2 linked regions of the Stegostoma tigrinum genome follow. The protein of the gene in region 1 interacts with the protein of each later gene in a biochemical or structural test. Links are inferred from orthologs where the notes say so. Each region holds a gene or a part of one and is shown in the gene's direction. Other genes may lie near its edges.

Region 1 (10,658 bases):
CACAGTGCTGACTATAGCTAATTACTTACTTTGCAAAACAAAGCAGGCAGAAACCTGATAAATCTCAAGTACCATCAAGATGTTTAACTCTTCACCTTCAACCCTTTCTGAAACAGTCATGTTTTAAATCAAAACTTTAAACAGGTTAAACTGCCCTTAGGGTTGCACTGTAACAGGAACAAAATCAAACAGTCTGGAAATTTATAAAAATGGAGCTGAAACTTATCAAATCAAAATAATATAGTCCAGGATGATGATGCATCCAGCCTCTGTGGTGCCCACAAGCCTCTAAATGTCCCATGTTTATTTGTTGTCCATCAATGTATTTAGTGCTCTATCTCGCTGGTGTCAATTTTAAATTTGTCATGTTTAGTTTAGATCTCTCCACTGCCTTCCTTGTTCCTCAAGTCTGTAACCTCCTCCACCTCGACAAACCTCCAAGAACTCAGTGTTCCCCCAATTCTGGTTCTTGATCTTCTTCTATTTCAGTCGCTCCTGAAAACTCTCCATTGCTGTACATCTTTAAACCTACCTTTCTTTACCTAGCTTCCATGTCACCTCACCTCATGTGGCTCAGTGCCAAATTTCCCAGCTTCCCACAAGTGTCATTGGGGTTTTTCATTATAATAGAGTTGCTATTTAATTATGTAGTTCTTGATTCTGGTTTTGCATTTATCACAAGTGTTCCTTCTTCAATCCTTCAGGATTTCTCTGCTTACAATGTTTCCCCCTACTCCACAAGCAAACTTCTAACATAGTCCAGCCAACCACTTATGCTTTTCCATGGTCATTAATCAAAGGTTCATTTTGGAAAAACAAGAAATAATAACGAAGCCAGCAGCAAGGACAGCACTCAGCAGCTCTCAGATGATTAAGGACAAGAGAGAAATTCAGAGAAATTCTTACCCTCAGGTCTATATTTGCTACAATTTCTGCAGCTGTATGTATTGTCAGAAAATATTGACAAATAACATTCTCGCAGTATAAACAATTCACCCACCATCACAATGAAAATTGTTGAAATGACTTCTCAATTAGCTGGTGAGAGAAGACAGAACAAAAGAGCATAATTTTGATTTTACACACTAGAACTCTTTCACTTAATCCTTCAAAGATTGCAGGTCAGTTGAAACAAAAAATGAAACTGAAAAATATTTGTTAACAAATGCTATCTAAGATTATGGAGGAAAGGCAAGTTAATGAAATCAATGTACAGATCACACTTGATCAATTAGAATGACAGAAAAGGCTCGAAAGATTGAATGGCTTTTTCCAGTTTGAATGCTGTCATAAGTCAGCTCAGGATCAATCTTTTCATTATGCAATCATTCGACCAACATAACCAATGACACAATGGACAATCTTGCAAAGATTGTGTTGACATTAGTGCTACTTTTAATTGTCTGCTTAGTTTATATGCGGAATACAGCAAAGGCTTCTCACACCAACATTGGAACTAAAGTGCCGTCTCATCATGCATAATAAATCGAGTGGAGGGAAATGTGTGTTCTGTAGCTAGATTTGTCTTTAGCAGCACTGACAATATCCAGTCAGCTAGGCTACTAGTTTAACTATGAAACACAATAATTAAAGAAGACAAATCGTATAATGGCAGAGTACTGTACAAAAGATTCCTTCCATTTTAAACAGTTGTACAATGCACGATGCAGTGCTGCATGACCGCATGACGCTAACTCAATCGCGTGTCCCTGATGAAATCAGCAATTGTGAAAGCAAAACTACAGTTTTCAGTAAAACCCACAGAACTGAATTACCTCCTTGCATTCCCTGTGAGACATTCATTGTTTTCCATGATTGATAGCTTATTTTTTTGAATTAAGTAAAAAGGCTTTCTCCTTACATGCACCCAGTTTAACATAACTATGGTAATAGCGAATTGATGAAGCAGGGGAATGTTGAGCTGCACTACAGGAAATGTAGAAAACCATCTGAAGCATCTCTTGAATGCCCCCACCACATTTCCATGCAATGAATTCCATAACCTCACTACTCACTGTGTGAAGAAAGTTGCACATCATTCTCCTCCAACACTATAAAGGACATAAGATATTACATCGGTCTTGTCTATGGTCTGTTTGAATGGTTATAATCACAATTGTTTGAGATCGCACTGTTGGCAGTAGTTCTGACAGTTACCAGCCATATTTAGATAAGATACGTTCACCTTTCTGTATATCAGCAGTGAGTGAGCACTGCACAAACCCAACAAAGGTAATAATCTAATGGAATCAGATGCTGTTCAAGGAATGTGGTAGAAAATGATCATGTTTGTTTCGAAAGGTAGGTTTTTTCCTAATTTCCAATGAACTGTTTTGTTTGTGTATAGTTCAAACTTACTTTTGATTGATTGATTCCTTGATTAATTTATTGTTGTCACATGTACCAAGATACGGTGAAAACTGTTGCATTGCGCAGTATACAGGCAGATCGTTCTGTGCAAAATAGCAACAGTGTAGCAGAACTGCATGCAGAATACAGTGTTGCAGCTGCTGAGAAGATGCAGACAGAAAGATCAACATTAACATTTAAAGGTCCGTTCAAAAGTCTGATACTGTGGGGAAGAAGCTGTTCTTGAAACTGGTGGTACCTGTTTTCAAGGTTTTATGTCTTCTGCCCAATAGAACAGTGTGGAAGAGAGTATAACTGGCGTGGGAGGGGTCCTTGATGATGTTGGCTGCTTTCCCGAGACAGTGGGAAGTGTACATGGAGTCAATGGATGGGAGGCTGGTTTGCACGATGGACTGGGTTGTGTTCATGACTTTCTGTGGCTTTTTGCGGATATGGGAACAGCAGTTGCCATACCAAGCTGCGATGCATCTGGATAGGATATTTTCTGTGGTGCACCTGTAAAAATTGGTAAGAGTCCTTTATGGACATGCTGAATTTCATTAGCCCCCTGAGGGGTAGAGGCATTGTTTTGCTTTCTTTACTGTGGCATTGATGTGGCTGGACCAGGACAAATTGTTGGTGATCATCACTCTTAGGAACTTGATACTGTCCATCATTTCAACCTCACCACCATTGATGCATACAGGAGCATGTCCTCCACTCCACTTCCTGAAGCCAATGACCAGCTCTTTCATTTTCCTAATGCTGATGGACAGACCATGGCGCTAAGCATGCAATCTCTTTCCTGCATTCTGCCTCATCTTTCAATCTTTTGTTGCACAATCATACGCTCTTCACCTCATTAATGATGCAACGGCCTCTCAGGTATGTTTCTCAGGGGGACGGCACAGCCAGAGAAGTGAAAGTGTTTGCTACTTTCAGTACTTTGCAGCTTTCACATGGCTAGGTTCATGTTTAAAGCCCAGCTGCACAGTCCCATGTACAACACTGCTCGCCCAGAACTGTCCATCGCACTGTGGTGTGTGAACTTCAGCGTTCAGCGTATCGCCCAGAGAGAAGGAAGACTGACTTCCTGCTTCACAGACAGCAACCTGAAGATCTTGGTGTTGTGGAAGTCCTTTTCTCAACCATCTGCCACACCAGGCTATGCAACCAGACGCACAGAAAGCCTGGGCACAGATTGCAGCCCAGGTCAGAGCTATGTTAGGAGGGAGTTGGGATGCTCAGCAGTGCAGGAGAATGATCAATGATCTTCTGCAATCTGCGAAGTCAAGGGCTACCGCCTTCTCTCTGACATCTCACACTCACTGAGCCACCTCTGACTCTAAGTCTGTCACTGCACACCAAGACTCCTGAACTGTAGTGCCCAGTATTATGCTGCATGCATTATGTCTACTCAAAGACTTCCCCCATCTCATCCACCCTAACCACTTACTCTTCCTGACTTTGTGTTTCCAACTCACTGGGGATACCTCATCACCATTCCAGCTTATAGAAAATATGATGATGGTTCTTGTATTTACTTTCGTCATAGTCCAGTCCTTCCACTGCTTTCTTGCTGTAAAAAATGGCCACAGAGTGTTGTCTTCATGGCTCCTCAGCTGATCTACTTGTAATCCCTGGATTGCGTGCACTTGACCTGCAGGCCTGATCTTGGCCCAATCCTAGGGCTGTAAAGATATGGATCCCCAGACTCCAGTAGGACCAAGCATCTTATTGACTGTGACTAACCCTTTAGGTTTGAATAAAACAAGTCATTTGATTGTCTATAGATTCCCATCCCCTCACATAAGACTGCTCACCTCTGACTTTCAGGCATTGTCTTTTTTTTAACTAATTCATAAAATCCTGGCTTTGTTGACCATTTATTGCCCATACCTAACTATTCAAAAGACAAATGAGAGTCAATCACTTTGCTGTGGGTCTGTAGTCATGAAGAACTGAGCAGGCAAAAGAGGGCAGGTTTCCCTTCACTAGAGTACATCAGTGAGCCGATTGTTTTCTTAGTGACAATCAATAATAGTTAAATGGTCACGATTAGGCTAGCATTTTAATTTATTTTATATCTTATGTGAGATTTGAAACCACAACAGCAGGATATTAAGCTGGTGCTCGAGATTATAGTCCCATGTTGTTACCACTACACCACCATCTCCTCAGTCAGTTGAAGCCCACGCAGTAAGTCTGCTGTAAAAGTCGCTGGCACAAACTCAGGTACTACATTGGTGTAGCACAGTGGCACATGGTGACATGCCAACCTCCTTGAACGTTCAGAGCTTCCCACTGTTACAAGTGGCCTCTAGAGTGAATTGTTGAAGGATTGAGGTGGCTTGGGAGTTGTTCCAAGAGCAGGCATTATGTTGTGATGAGTATGATGTTGTGTTGATGCCAGCTGACGTGGATGAAAGGTCAGGAAGGATGGTCTCCATGGAGTGTGCAGGGATGTTATAGTGAGGGAGATGTTGAGTAGCAGCTAAGATAGCATTTGACAAGTGGGAGCCTCAAGGTTCCTGATCTTTTGCAGTTCGGTGCTTTCTAGCTTCTCAGCAAAGGAGAGAAAGGTTGAAAAAAATGCTTGAGAAAAAGCGGGGTCACTGCTCAGTGGCAAGATTCTTAAGGTACCATTTTAAATCACTAGAATTTTTATGACATTGGATTGTTCATATTTTTCATTTTCACTGTAATGTATGTTCCCAATATTCTTTCAATTACACCACACCAGGGAGTGGGAGATGTTGCCGTGTATGTTGTGTGTCTCGGCCAGGTAACATATCCAGTCTGTACGTCAAGTTTAGTAACTTGGGTGAAAATACAGTGTCGGAATCCTATTGCAAGTCAAAACTAAAATCTCTTCACCATTGATAAAGAGTTTGACCACTCTTAATCAAATCTCACTTCTAAGTGCCATCGATAATTCATTGGTAACATTCCCACCTCTTAGGTCAGTCAGTTTAAGTTACACTGCAGGGAGTTGAATGAACAGTCTAGTCTGTCAATCCAAAGCAGCACTGAGGGAGTGCTGCACTATCAGATGGTAAGATGTCGATCTGTGGTCCCAGTCACTTTCTTCACACCAGGAAGATTCCAACGGCTGTACTTTTGAAGAAGAGCAAGGGAAGATGTCCTTGGTGCGCAATGTTTCTTACAGTTCAGTTAGCTGAGTTAACAAAGTGTAGAGTTTTATGAACACAGCAGGCCAAGCAGCAATTTAGTAGCTGAAAAGCTGATGTTTTGGGCCTAGACCCTTCCCGAAACATCAGCTTGTCTGCTCCTAGGATGCTGCTTGGCCTGCTGTGTTCATCCAGCTCTACACTTTGCTATCTCGGATACTCCAGCATCTGCAGTTCCTAGTATCTCAGTTAGCTGAGTGGCTGGTTTGGTTGTCAAAATGATACCAACAGCATGGGCTCAGTTCTTGGCCCGGCTGATGTTACAATGAAGGCGCTGACTTCACAACCTCTCCCCTTGCCTGAGGCATAGGAATCCTCAGGTTAAACCAACACCAGTTGTCTCTCTCTAATGAGAATACTGGGTAGCTTTACCTTTTACCTTAACTGTACAAAACTAAGCGTGCTTCAATACATTTACTTAATTGATTGTGAATGCTTTGAGATGTCAAATAACACTTCCTTGAACATTTGTACAAATATTCATAGCAGAGAATATTCGGTGAACATTTCTGATGCCAGAGATCTCTAGGATGGCTGGTATGGGACAAGGCAATAGTTCACCTCTGTGTGCTGTCATGAAAGTGATGTGTTCTGTTAGAGCAGAGAAAGATTTTAAACCTACGCTTAACAGAAACAGTAGATGCAACAACTGCAGAAAGCTCCCTTTCACTGTTTCTCCTCCTTAGAGAAGAAAAACAAATATTACAAAAACAGTAATTTCCAAATGCTGTCTCTTTAATGCTTCCCACTGAGTAAAATTGATATGGAAAAATCAATACATATTAGAGTTAGCTTTTAAGAAAAGCGACATTGTATTCCCTTAGCTGACAGTTCCAGTTCATGGCATTACTGGAGATGTACTTTGACCTTAGCGTAATGTCATGATTTTCTCAGGCGAGCGTTTGCTTTTGGAGAAGGTGGGGGAGGAGGTGGGTTGGGGGTGGGATGATGAGAGGGAATGGAGAGGCAGCAAGTTACATAGAGCAAAGGCTGTTTGAAACACTGTCAATGCTTTTCAATGCCAGACTGCAATCGATGATCTCTTCATCTCTTTCTCTGAGAGTCACAAGGAAAATGTACATGGAGACTTTGGTGCAGGACAAGCCTTTATTCTCACTTCAGACCATCAGGCCAAAGACAGCAGAGAAGGTAAAATATATTGTTGCAATGATGCATTCTAAAAATATTCTTGGTTCATGTCTTCCGAGATGTTTAATGGGTGAACGTAGATTTAAAAACTGTATTTTCAAAACGAGAAACCACCGGTTCACTTGAATTCCTGTTACAGGGATTGTATAAAGTTCTGTGTCCCACAATGAACTATATTTATTCCATGAATGGCTTGTGCTTTCAAGCTAGAACCATGTACATTTTTAACTTGTAAGTCAATTGAAAACTTTGGCACCGTTAAGTTGAAAGATATGGAGAGGGCACATGGGAGGACATTGTAAACTCATCTGAAACATCCTTGCTTGGGTATTGAGACTGTCTAAATTAACCTGAGAGTTCAAAGGATGACATTCTATCAGAATTTGTAATATTCTGCCATTTGTCACAGGATTAGCTGGTCTGTTGTTGTATCATGTGACGCTTCGTGAGAAAGTCTCCTGTTACAGGATCTCAAGGGAAGCATAACCTTGGATTTTGATAGCACTGAAGACATCTCAAAGTGGATGGATTCCAAATAAAATAAAGTCTAGTCTTGTTGTCCTGTGGTAAAGCGCAAACTGACAAATGAAAAGCATGATCTCACAGATAGCAATCAGATAAATGACTGTGTAACTGGCAGTGGCTGTACTTGAAGAAAGAATGTTGGCAAAAAAAATGAGGAAACAACATTTTCTTTGCTGTCAAAAAATGTTGTTTTTTTTTATATCCACCTTAACGATCAGAAGTTGCACTTAATTAGTTTAATATCTCATCTATAAAACAGCAGCTCTGACTCTGCAGCATTCCCTTAACAAGGCAACAGACCGAAATTAAATGATTAAGATCCCGGTTGGGAGTTGAGCCTAAAATCAGGCAGTGGAGAGGGGGATAATAGGAACTGCAGATGTTGGAGAATCTGAGATAACAAGGTGTAGAGCTGGATGAATACAGCAGGCCAAGCTGCATCTTCTTCAGAAAATGAAGGGTCCAGACCCAAAACATCAGCCTTCCTGCTTCTATGATGCTGCTTGGCTCGCTGTATTCATCCAGCTCTACACCTTGTTATAATGGAGAGGGGGAGTCAGCTGGATTGAAATAGTAAAGATACAAATCAGGAGGCTTAATTTCTAAGTATAGTTGCTGCTAAAATGGAAAATTGGATTCATAATGGCATGCAAGAGGCTCAGTGACAGTGGGGGAATGTTAGTGAACTGTCAATTTTTGGGTGGGAGAATGAGAAGCCATACTTTCCCTCTCAGAAGGGAAATGATTTGGGATGGCAAACCATGTCTGGTCACCTCCAAATGGCTGAGACAAGGACAGCAGAGTTAATGTAATGTCAGCGCAGAGCAGTAAACATGCTCTAAAGGACTCAGTTAGCTTAATTGGTTGGTTTGCAACACAGAATGTTCAGTTCCTGAACCAATTGAGGTTACCCTAAAGGACTCTCTTTCTCAATATCTTCCCTCGCCTGAGGCATGATGACCCCCAGCTTAAACTCGCCATCAATCATCTCTCTAATGAGAGAGCATTCTTTCGGAAACAATGATTATACGAGGGATAAGAATACTTAAAGCAGGCACCTGGAATTCCTCATACCATAATAGTTCATCATCTCTGTTCGAAGAGGTTGGGTAGGAGTTTCAGATGGGCACATTGGTATAATGGTGTGATTTGAAGAAATAGGGGAGTTGGAAATGAGATTGTGAAAATGCCTCAGACTGTTTTGCTTCTTTAGTTTCCTGGAGCCCAAGGCTGTTGATGCTCGATGTGTGTTAAAGTTTGTCACGCTACTTGCAAAGCTTGACTTATTCACTCTTCCCAATCCATCATAAGGGAGACAATACGTATACTTTAAATGAGCCATGCCATACCACACCGTCAGGAATCTACATCCCTGCCATTATCTTTATGACACACTTGCAACAGCAGAATGATTTCTTTATAGTCACTAGCTGCACTTTCAAACGTCTGGTATTTCATAAAATCAGCTCTGTCCCTCTCTCGCTCTCTCTTGCTCTCTCTCCCTTTCTCTCTTTCTCCCTCTTTCTTTCTCTCTCTCTCTTTCTCTCTTTCTCCCTCTTTCTTTCTCTCTCTCTCTCTCTCTTTCTCTCTCTCTCTCACTCTCATTCTCTCTCTCACTCGCTCTCTGTCTCTGCTCTGTCAGATATTGATGTGAATTTCTGTCCACTGCAGAATGCCCTTTGCTGTGGATTCATTGCCTGCTATTGCAGTAAAGTGGATCCATTTAGATTTTGTTTCTCCATTTAATTTGGCTTAAAATGACTGATGTTGCAGCTCTCAATCGTAGAATCATAAAACACTTTAAGGAGGCCATTCAGCTCACAGTGTCTGTACTAGCTCTTTGGAAAAGCCACTAATTATTTCCACTATCCTGTTCTCCTTCCTTAGGCCTGTGATCCTTTTCACTTCAAGTAATTACACAACATCTTTTGAAAGGAAATTACTGAATCTGCTGCCACTCAGACAGTGTTTTCCAAATCCTAATAATTTGCTGTGTAAAAATCAACTCACCACTAGACAACAAGACCGTAAGAAATAGGAACAGGAGTAGGGTGTTTAGCTTGTCGAGCTTGCTCCACCATCCAACAGTATCATGACTGATGCAATGTGGCACTTGTATCAACTTACCTTCCTTTCCCCACCTACCTTAATTCCCCAGTCGATCAAAAATCCATCCATCTCAGCCTTAAATATACACAAGGAAATACACTATCCTTATCTCTCTCTTGCTCTTTTGCCAATATCTCCATTCAAAGCCTCGTCTTGGATCCTTGACAGAACCAGGGACTTTTGAGTGTGTATCAATGTTACTTCTGTGGCTGCACTCTAACCTTAAAGGCAAAATCTTAGAGATTCAAACCCCAGTTCAAGCACCTAAGCCTGACCCTAGGTTGCCTTGGCAGTGCAGTGCCAAGCTGCACAGTTGGAGGTCATTGAGTTTTACTGCATTTAAAAGATGCCGTTTAGCCCTTCATATCTGATGGTTATCAAGCACCCAACTATTCTAATCCAGTTTTCCAGCACTTAGTCCATAGCTTTGTGCATTATGGAATTTCAAATGTTCACCAAAATATTTTAAAATGCTCCAACTCTGCCCCCCTTTCAGGCAGTGAGTTCCAGATACAGCCCTCTGGGTAAAAAGACAAAAGTTTTTCCTTAAACTCCCTCTAAATCTTTTGCACTTTATATTAAGTCTATAATCCCTGGTTATATATCCATTTACTCATGGGAAATGTTTATTCCTCTCTACAATATTTATGCTACTCAATTTTATACATCTCAGTCAGGTCTCTCCTCAGCATCTCTGTTCTAAGGAAAACACCCCCCATTCTATGTATGATGTAGCACGGACAATATCCTGGTTCAATCTTCCTTAATAACAAAGTGTGGAGCTGAATGAACGCAGCAGGCTAAGCAGCATCTTATGCTGGCCTGCTGTGTTCATCCAGCTCCACACTTTGTTATCTTGGATTCTCCAGCATCTGCAGTTCCCATTATCTCTCAATCTCCTTTGCATTCTCTGTGGTACAATCACGTCCTTCCAAAAGCCTGGCAACCAGAACCGTATATAGTACTTCAGCTGTGGCCCAGATAACTTTATACAATTCCATCATAACTTCCCTGTTCTTGTATTCAATGCCTCAACCAATTAGAATTAGATTTTATTGTCACATGTACTCAGGTACAGGATTGCAGGAGTACAGCAAAAAGTGTACAATGTTGATATTCCCAGGGCCATCTGAGGTAGAAAGGTACCAAGGTACAAAATCTTAGGTATAAAACAGAAAAATAAGGAAATATAGTTAAAAGTTCACAGTTAAAGTCCTTCTTAGTATAAAATAGAATAATAAAGCTAAAAGTTCAACATTGCTATTTATCTTAAGTGCTTAGCAATGCTGGGCTTCCACTCCCCACAAGGGCTCAACCTGCTCTATGCTGAGCTCG
Region 2 (10,000 bases), on another chromosome or scaffold:
ACAAAAATCTGAATTATGAGTTTAATGATGACCATGAATCCATTGTTGATTGTTGGGAAAAACCCATTGGGTTCGTTAGTGTCCTTTAGGGAAAAAAACTGCTACCTTATCTGGTCTGGCCGACATGTGACTCCAGACCTATAGCAATGTGGTTGACTCTTAACTACCTGCTGGGCAAATAGGGATGGGCAATAAATGCTGCCTAGCCAGCGATAGCCTCATTCCATGGAATTCATAAAGAAAAAGAAAGAAACAGCATTTGTGGTTTATTTTTCTATCCCCACCCTTGTCTGCCTTCCGGAGAGACCACTCTCTCCGTGACTCCCTTGTTCACTCCACATTCCCCTCCAACCCCACCACACCCGGCACCTTGCCCTGCAACCGCAGGAAATGCTACACTTGCCCCCACACCACCTCCCTCACCCCCATCCCAGGTCCCAAGATGACTTTCCATATTAAGCAGAGGTTCACCTGCATATCTGCCAATGCGGCATACTGTATCCATTGTACCCGGTGTGGCTTCCTCTACATTGGGGAAACCAAGCGGAGGCTTGGGGACCGCTTTGCAAAACACCTCCGCTCGGTTCGCAATAAACAACTGCACCTCCCAGTCGCGAACCATTTTAATTCCCCCTCCCATTCTTTAGACGACATGTCCGTCATGGGCCTCCTGCAGTGCCACAATGATGCCATCCGAAGGTTGCAGGAACAGCAACTCATATTCCGCTTGGGAACCCTGCAGCCCGATGGTATCAATGTGGACTTCACCAGCTTCAAAATCTCTCCTTCCCCCACCGCATCCCAAAACCAGCCCAGTTCGCCCCCTCCCCGCACTGCATCACACAACCAGCCCAGCTCATCCCCTCCCCCGACTGCATCCCAAAACTAGCCCAACCTGTCTCTGCCTCCCTAACCTGTTCTTCCTCTCACCCATCCCTTCCTCCCACCTCAAGCCGCACCTCCATCTCCTACCTACTAACCTCATCCCACCTCCTTGACCTGTCCCCTCCCTACCTCCCCACCTATACTCTCCTCTCCACCTATCTTCTCCTCTCTCCAACTTCGGTCCACCTCCCCCTCTCTCCCTATTTATTCCAGAGCCCTCCCCCCCCCCCCCATGAAGGGTCTCGGCCCAAAACGTCAGCTTTTGTGCTCCTGAGATGCTGCTTGGCCTGTTGTGTTCATCCAGCTTCACACTTTATTATCTTTGTGGTTTATTGTTTGCTTTTGCTGACTGTGTTGTAGCATGCTATTCCCAGGCATTACACAATTATCACCAGTAAATAAGATGTTACATGCAAATCTTATTTGGGTTTCACTATGAAGAAATAAAAAATGTTTCCCTGAGTTATATAGCCAATCTGCATCTTTGTTACATTGTGGGGAGAGCCATTCCCATTAATTAACAACTCAGAGGACGGCTAGAACCAAGGCAAAGTTGGGAGATAAGGCATATGTGTTGAAAGTTAATCTTAAATTTCCAAATTGATTCCTCAATGTACAGGAATCAACCTCAACCTCATCATAAGTTAGAAATGCGGGGCTTGTCTTGGTAATTTTTCATGTGTTTTCCATAAACACCTCTATAACTGTGTCCACTAAATTTTGGTTCAGGAAGAAAATTATCAAAATCAATTTACAAGACAGTACCTATTTTTACAGATGATTTTGTTCAAGACGTTTAGAATCAGCATACATGTCTGAATTTTAGTTATTTTCCTGTACCTCAAAAGTGCAATTCTCATCTCCTGCAGTCCGCTCTCTACTGTACCATCAACAGAATTTTAGAACCCAAGACTGTATCACCTGACCTTTACATATTGATTAATTTGCCTTCACTCTTGGAGCTTAAAATATGGATTCTGAACTGCTACTGTGGGACTGAGATCACACATTTTTTGAATACCTCAAATTAGTTTTGAAATCCCTGAAACCATCTCTTGCCTTTCATTTTTCTCATCAAGGCAGTTTAAATAAAAGAAAGCAGTAACATCACTGGTGATTTGAGATTATTTTCCTGAAGTGTAAAAGCTACTATATCTTCTAGGTCTTATCAGTGTCAGAGAAGCTTTGGGATTGACTATTGGCCAAATAGATAACATTAGATATTACAGTTTCTTTTCTCATGGTCTTAATTAGTTTCTTTTCTCTGTAGTAAACATACAGTGGCCAAATTTGCACATAAATGCTGGTCTTTTGGACAGGTTACCTGATAACTGCTGGTAAAATTGGGAATTTACCCAACAAGGGTCAATGTTATGAGGAGAGGAATGGAAATAAAAGAGGCAAACAATTTCAAATAACAAAAGATGGTGGTGGGTAAGGGATAAGCAAGTGGAAAAGAACTGGTCTAAAAGTGACGAATTTAGAATGACTGACTGCTGAGTCTAGTGAAATGACAGTCAGCACTCCAAGGGATGTAGCTGCACTGCAACATCTTGCCCGCCAAATCAAAGGGATTCCCATGATGTGAATATATCTTTGGAAAGATCTGGAAAGAGGATGAAAAGTGGTTCATCTGAAAAAATCTGCAATGTAGGACCCTGCGCTCTACAAGCTGCCCCTGGATGCACATGTGGAAACAAACATAACATCTATTAGGGGACCATCAACTCAGTGAAAGATGCTTTTAGATAGGCCGAAAACATTTAGATCTTTCAGTGTAAAGGGCATTTTCCAAGGTTCATGGCCATGTGCTTATAGACAGACTAATGCAATGGGGAAAGACCACTGTCCAAATCCCCTTTGTCATATTATCCAGGCTAGAAACCTTCCAGGTGTAAAACTGGATGGCTGTATCCCCCTGAGAATGTAAGACATGAAATATAAATGTCCTTTATAAATATAACCAGATAAGGTACATGTGATGAGGCACCCTGTGATTGTATTGAAGAAAACCTGATGTAGTTCATTCTATCTAATGTTGTGAAGTACACCTTTCCAAATTTTAGGAATAAAGTATATTTTATGGGGGGAGGGGAAAGTAGTCACTGAAGTTACTTTACAGCTTTATAGACAGAAGGCTTGATATTATACTGAGTATAACTTGTTGCACATCAATACTTTAATAAATGTCAGGAATTCATTGTAACCTGTATGTAACTTACGGATATCAATACTGAGATTGGTTTGTATTCCACTCTTTTGTTTTCCTCAAACTGAACACATTTTACTGTGCTTCAAAGCTGGACTACTGCTCTGACTGAGTACCAGTTGTTGTAAATAAATGCTATATTACAATAGAATTGAGATGTCCCCCATCTTAAAGCAGAACATTATTGCAAGTTCTTAGCATACTGATTCACAGAGCAATAAAGCACAATAAACAGCCATAAGGATATATTCTATTCAAAATGTGAACTGAGTTTGAACATTCTCAATGAGTTTATTCTGGCTGTAACAAAGCATTGTTTCCAATTTGCAAATATCAATCAGTGAGGTCGACACTGGTATATTAAATTTATTCTGAGCTTGAAAATTTCATATGCATTTTCAGGCAAAAGGGAGAACATAAGATAATTACAGTATTTTCCCATCTCAGCCCAGAAGACACTTTTTTTTATATTTTCAGCATTTATATTTTTTAAGGTTTCCTTGGTTTTTTATTGCTTTTCTGCCCAGAAATCCATATCATAATAACTTCTGGTGAAAAGGAGATCCAGATTTTAACTTGGCCTTTCACAGTTCAATTTAAACTCATGTTCTGTAATTTGCCTGTAAACATCTGGTATATCTTTGCGAGCTCATCAGTAAGATGCTTTCCCTAAAGGCTACTTTTTACAAAGACAACAGTCTGCAAATGCATCGATACATTTGTTTGAACATAAAATCCAAGTTATTTTGCAATGATGTAAAGAAAGAAATGAATAGCTTTTCCTTGCAACAGAGCTTTATTTCTTGGTTCTGCATCAGCTTGGGGCTGTTTGTTACATTGCTTTGAGTTTGCCTGTTTTTTGGTGACCAGAACTAAATATGAGCCTTGAAACGAGGTGTGATACAGCAATGTACAATTTGATCTTTATGCCCTCTGACTTACATGTTAAAATGTGACTTTTCTGTTTGCTGCTCTGTATTTATTACATTGAGCTCACAAAATCTCGAAGGTTCATCTTTAACTTCATCTCATCATCCTCAGCTATTTTAATACAATTAACATGGCTGTACAAAACTCTGGTGCGGCCGCACTTGGAGTATTGCGTACAGTTCTGATCACTGCATTATAAGAAGGATGTGGAAGCTTTGGAAAGGGTGCAGAGGAGATTTACTAGGATGTTGCCTGGTATGGAGGGAAGGTCTTACGAAGAAAGGCTGAGGGACTTGAGGCTGTTTTCGTTAGAGAAGGTTGAGAGGTGACTTAATTGAGACAGATAAAATAATCAGAGGGTTAGATAGGGTGGATAGGGAGAGGCTTTTTCCTAGGATGGTGACGGCGAGCATGAGGGGGCATAGCTTTAAATTGAGGGGTGAAAGATATAGGACAGATGTCAGAGGTGGTTTCTTTACTCAGAGAGTAGTAAGGGAATGGAACACTTTGCCTGCAACGGTAGTCGATTCGCCAACTTTAGGTACATTTAAGTCATCATTGGATAAGCATATGGACGTACATGGAATAGTGTACGTTAGATGGGCTTCAGATCGGTATGACAGGTCGGCACAACATTGAGGGGCGAAGGGCCTGTACTGTGCTGTAATGTTCTAATTCTAATGACATCAGAGATTTACTTTGCATCTGACCTGGGAGGGCTTGAGAATGACACTGGATAGCTGGAATGAAAGAACGTTTGAAGTTGCAGCACTAACCTTGAATGGAACTGAAGTAAAAATAAACACCCAATAAATCTATATCCAAAACTATAAATCTTGTATTGGCATCATTATACATAGAACAAGTGCACTGAATAAGAGAGGGGAATCAGTGGGGGTAAAAAAGCTGAGGGGGGAGGGTTAAAACCGCTGGGCAGGGTTGACAGATGGAATTGAATATCAGCAATTGTGACGTTATTCATTTCAGACTGAAAAAGTATAGCTCAGGGAATTTATTAGAAGGCACAAAGTTAAATACAATGGATGACCAATGAGATTTTGGGGGTTCAGATGCTTAACTGTACAATGCCACGATTAGATGCAGAAAGTAGTCAAGAAGGTAATGGAATGCTGTCCTTCATATTTGGAGGTCTGGAGCTGATATAATGCTGCAGTTATATGAAAGGATGTTTTCGCCCTGAAGGGTGTCCAAGGTAGATTTACACGTAATGATACCTGGTTCAGGGGTTAATTTGAGTAGACATGAGATAAATTATTTATTCTGTAGAATTTAGAAGGTTAAAGGGTTGATCTAATTGAGATCTTCGGGATATTAGCAGGGTAAAGATAAACTATTTCCACTGGCTGAAGATACTGAACCAGTTGGCACAAAGAGTCAAAGAATTGGAAAGTTGTTAGAAAGCATTTCTATAATGGAAACAGCAGTAGAGGTTTGCAGTTCTTCCTCAAACAGCGATAGATGCTAATTTGCTTGTTAAATTTAAATCTGAGAAAAGGCAAGTTTTAAACCAAAGGCTGATAGACCCAAAGCGGGCCTAAGGAACTTTGCCACAGGTCAGCCATGATCTTACTGAGAAGCTCCCACTTCCCTGTCAGACACCCGGCGTCGCTCGTGGTGGGCGGGCAGAATGATGTCACTGCCAGGGCACGCGGTGCGAAGACGTCAGGCGCAGGCCCCGCCTCTATTCCGACGCTGGCGGATGCGCGTGCAGGCGCTGCGGTTGTTGTGGGAGAAGCGGCTCCGCTTCATTCAAACAGGCGGAGGGAGCGCCGGCCTGAAAGGTGAGGTGAATGATAAACACGCCGTGCGGGTTAATAATAGCTGGGCAGGATTCAGTAGATCTGGCCTGCATAGTAGGGCATGTGCGATTAATGATATTTGATGATCGGTGCTTCTCTTTCTTTTCCCTACCCACCCATCTACCACCTCTCTCTCCCACCCCCCCATCACAGTTGTGGGAATTTTGGGTGGGGGCGGGGGGTGGAAAGTGACGCGAAAGCTTTGCGGTTGCTAGGGAGGGAGGTACGTTAGTCTGAGATTTACACTCCCTCCTGCAGACAAAATGAGAGAAAATAAACCTTGTTCCCCTCTGTGAAGATGCAATTTAAAAAAAACGTTGGAAACTTTTTCTTCCATTATCCCTCTTCCTGTTTGAGTGCAGTCTTATTTTGTTTGGTGCGTGTCATTTATTTTTTGAGCAAGTTTCGAAGCATCTCGGCAACAAAAAAACGACAAAAAATGTGAGGGGTTCACGTAGGAGTCACTCATTTGATGTATTTTGCGATACTTTGGAGCATACTGGTGGTTTGTTTTTCTGGTTCATGATTCGAACCTGCCGGGAAGCACGTAATTGATGTATTTACTCATACCACATTTCACACACTCTTATTTAAGTTGGATAGGCGAAAAATCTCATTTCGGGGGGTTCTATTCGATGTGCGAATTTGGAAATCAGTAGTTAAGTTCTGAAACATCTCATTTTAATCAGGTACGTTAACTAGTGAGTGGGTTGTATTGTCTTCATATTTTGTGCGTGTAATTTTTAAAATCCTATTTTTTTTTAAATGGATGGAGGCTTATAAGTATTCCTTCCACAATTACAGTGGGTGTTGGGTAGTGATTTCCAGAAAGCGTGGATAAACCGCCGTTCTGGATACGAACTTGGATTTCTAACTCTTTCAAACCGCCCCCCCCTCCCCCAGATGCCGATGCGTATTTTGTCATTTTCCTTTCCTTTTTAATTTAGGAGTTAATTTGTCCCTCTCTTTGTATGAGAAATCCGACGTCTTTCCTGTTATTCGTTGCAAGGTCTGATTTTAAGCGTGCTGGTGTTGTAGGGAGGAAGGTGTTGACATTTATAGCGACAAGGTTTTCCTCTTTGTCTGCACTGTCTATGCCACATTGCTGTCAGCATCAGAAGAAGGCTGGAATTTGTCTTACGGTTTGAATGACATAACCACAAGCCGCTTCGTTAAACGGTTATTTCTAAGAACGAGATACTTCGACGAAGTTTTGGTTTTCAACTAAAATTAATAGCATCTGAGATTTAGAATTACTAGTGTGTGTGAGTAAAAATGCTGATGAACAAAGTATATTGAATTCAACTTTAAAATTAGCGATTAAAATCAATTTTCACATTGAGTAAATAACACTGCTGTGCAATTACGTCAAGCTTTATTTGGATTATCAGAATTAATGGCTCAACAACTATGATGAGAGAATGGCACATTTCATTCTCTGTTGTATTGGTCTGCGTACAAAAGTGATCAATCAGTGGTGCTATATAGCAAAATGTCTTGCATGCAATTTCAGAAATATTGTTTTAGAATACATGGTAGTGAGTTTAAGTGGTCATGCATTCATAGATATTAATGCAAGGATTAGTGCAGTAAACTTTCTGTCATTAATGCAAAGCTTATCAAAAATGTTACAAATTAAGAATGCTAAAAAGTAGTGTGAATTGGCTGAAAGTTCTTACTTTTACATGATCAATGGCCTTAAAAGCAGATTTGAAATCTGCAACCCCACAAGGGAAATCCCAGAAGTTAAAATTGGTGTACCATTTATGGGTTCACTCTAGGGGTCTCTGCAGTATTTATAATGCTTTCAAATTCTACTGTTTACAGAGTGTGTTGAAGTGCTAGAGTGAGGATGCTGCAGGCTTTGCAATTTGGGTATGCGTGGAAAAGATCAGAGGCTTTCTGGGAACTGTGAAAAGGTATCTGCTTGCACTTTGCTGTGAAACCTTTGAGTACGTTATCCATTTTATATGTAGGTACCTGTTATTGAAAAGTAATTTGGGTGGGTCTAAGATAAATCTTCATTTCAACAGTCATAAGCACTCAGAACTCCCAGGTTGATTGAGTGAATTATTAGTTATAGAAAAGAGAACTGATCATTCCTGAAAAGTATACAAGTCCTAATGGAAATTGGTAAATGCTGGTTAAGACCTGGAATCATTGAAGCTGTGAAATATTCTCTGCAGTCAGTCAGCCAGCCAGGACTCCTTATGTTGAATATTAGGATGGTGATAGCATAGTGGTGTTATTGCTACGTTGTTGATCCAGAGACCCAGGTAATGTTCTGGGGACTCAGGTTTGAATCCTGCCATAGTGGATGGTGGAATTTCAATTCAATTTTTAAAAATATCTGGAATTAAGGTGATGACCATGAAACCATTGTCAATTGTCAGGAAAAACACAACCGGTTCACTCATGTCCTTTTAAGGAAGGAAACTGCCATCCTTACCTGGTCTGGCCTACTAGTGACTCCAAACCCACAGCAAGTGGTTGACTCTTAACTGTTCTCTGGGGTGTTAGGGTTGAGCAATAATTGCTGGTCTAGCCAGTGACGCCCTCATCCTGTGAATGAATTAAAAAAAAGGTAGGGAAACTCTGTCCATGTTTCCATGGAATGGTGTTAGGGATCAATACCTATAGATGGATGGGAAAATTGGAAGGAAAACAGTGGAAGTTAGAAAAACTGCCAAATATTTTTTCCAATGTTGATTGTGATAAGCCAAATGCACTTGGCTGCTGTATTGCAAATATTCGAGGTCAGTAATTAGATCATGCAGTTTAATTCTTTTAGCATCTGAGTTGGTGGTTGAATAGAACATTTGACTCTAAGTTGGCCTTAAACCCATATTTTATTGAATGTCAAGGCAGGACACTCCAGGTTTTTAATATTGCCTGCCTTCATTTCATGCTATTGCCCCTTTCATTTCAGCATAACTTTGCCTTAACCAATACCTGCACTTTTGACATGACATTGTGAAGGATTATTCAACTTCATGGCCACACTCTATACTACTCTAAGTTTCATTAACTTATCACCATCCTTTTCATTTGATTCTGAGTTTCCTAAATGTAGAACGTTTGAAATCCTTGTCCCTTTTCCATTCTTTTCCTAGGCTCTTAACCCATCTGATATCAACTACCTCTTTTCACATATAGTTCTCTGACTTTTGGGTTCTGCCACAGTTTAATTTCCATTCTGTGTAAGTTATAAAGTTAATATCTTCACCATACCTTAGGTATTTCCTCCGTAGACTTCTCCAACATGCTGTTTTTCACCCTGCCATGGTGACAGAATGTGCTGTAGCTAACCAAAATCCCTCTTTCTTTCAGTTATGTTTTATTAGATTGTTGTTTCCATTTTCACCTAAGTCCAACAACAACAAACTAATTGTTGTGTCCTCTGTATAGATAAGATTACTTCACTCAGTACATACCAGGGGTTAAATTTAGTTTCTCTTCTTTCTTAAATAAATCATGAAGGATAAACATCGTGCACCCGTAATGCAGTTTTCTTTTAAGTACTTAGCAACCAAATGATCTACCCATCCAACATGATCTTCAAAAAAGAGGTCTGTCATTGCCTCTCTGTAATTAGTTGTATTAATTCCCATTTCCCCGCTTCTGTCCATGGAGATATCTTGCAACCTTCAGGGGTAAAAATGGATGATTAAAAACATTAGTTTGCATTTAATGTTATATACTTGATAGGAATAATGAGGAGATATAATAAAACATGAAATGATGCAATCCTAAAAGGGGTGCAGGAGAAGAGAGGTCTGTAGGTAAACGTGCACAAGTTGTTGAAGATGGCAAGGCTGGTTGAGGAAGGCTACTAAGGCATTTGGGATCCTGGGCTTTATAAAAGCTGATTACAAAAGCAAGGAAGGTTTGGAGGACTTTTCTAAAACACTTTCAGTCTCAATTTGGAGTATTGTGACCAATTCTGGGTACCACTCTTTAGGAAGCACATGAGTAAGAAGAAATGTGATAGACGTGCTCAATCATGAATCAGATAGAGTAGTTTGGGAGAAACTGCTCACTTTGAAGGAATAGACTTAAATTTAAGGTAAATGGCAGGAGTTGTCGAAGGGATTAAAGGATGATTTTTTTTTATTCGGAGGGTTGCAGATATCTGGAACTCTTTGCGTGAAAGAAT

Evidence for each region.
Region 2: the proteins of D(2) dopamine receptor B-like (region 1) and neuronal calcium sensor 1 form a complex in vitro, tested with the Homo sapiens proteins (2 studies listed by BioGRID, with this or other methods). The link is inferred for Stegostoma tigrinum from reciprocal best matches to the Homo sapiens genes DRD2 and NCS1.

The regions. Positions count from the first base shown.
Region 1 is NC_081385.1:7,593,437-7,604,094, forward strand, and holds the start of D(2) dopamine receptor B-like, read left to right. Parts: upstream 1-6,542; 5' UTR 6,543-6,548; coding exon 6,549-6,689; intron 6,690-10,658. UniProt on the Homo sapiens protein: Dopamine receptor whose activity is mediated by G proteins which inhibit adenylyl cyclase. Positively regulates postnatal regression of retinal hyaloid vessels via suppression of VEGFR2/KDR activity, downstream of OPN5.
Region 2 is NC_081382.1:34,885,806-34,895,805, forward strand, and holds the start of neuronal calcium sensor 1, read left to right. Parts: upstream 1-5,718; 5' UTR 5,719-5,826; intron 5,827-6,514; exon of another isoform or gene 6,515-6,533; intron 6,534-7,671; exon of another isoform or gene 7,672-7,763; intron 7,764-10,000. UniProt on the Homo sapiens protein: Neuronal calcium sensor, regulator of G protein-coupled receptor phosphorylation in a calcium dependent manner. Directly regulates GRK1 (RHOK), but not GRK2 to GRK5. Can substitute for calmodulin. Stimulates PI4KB kinase activity.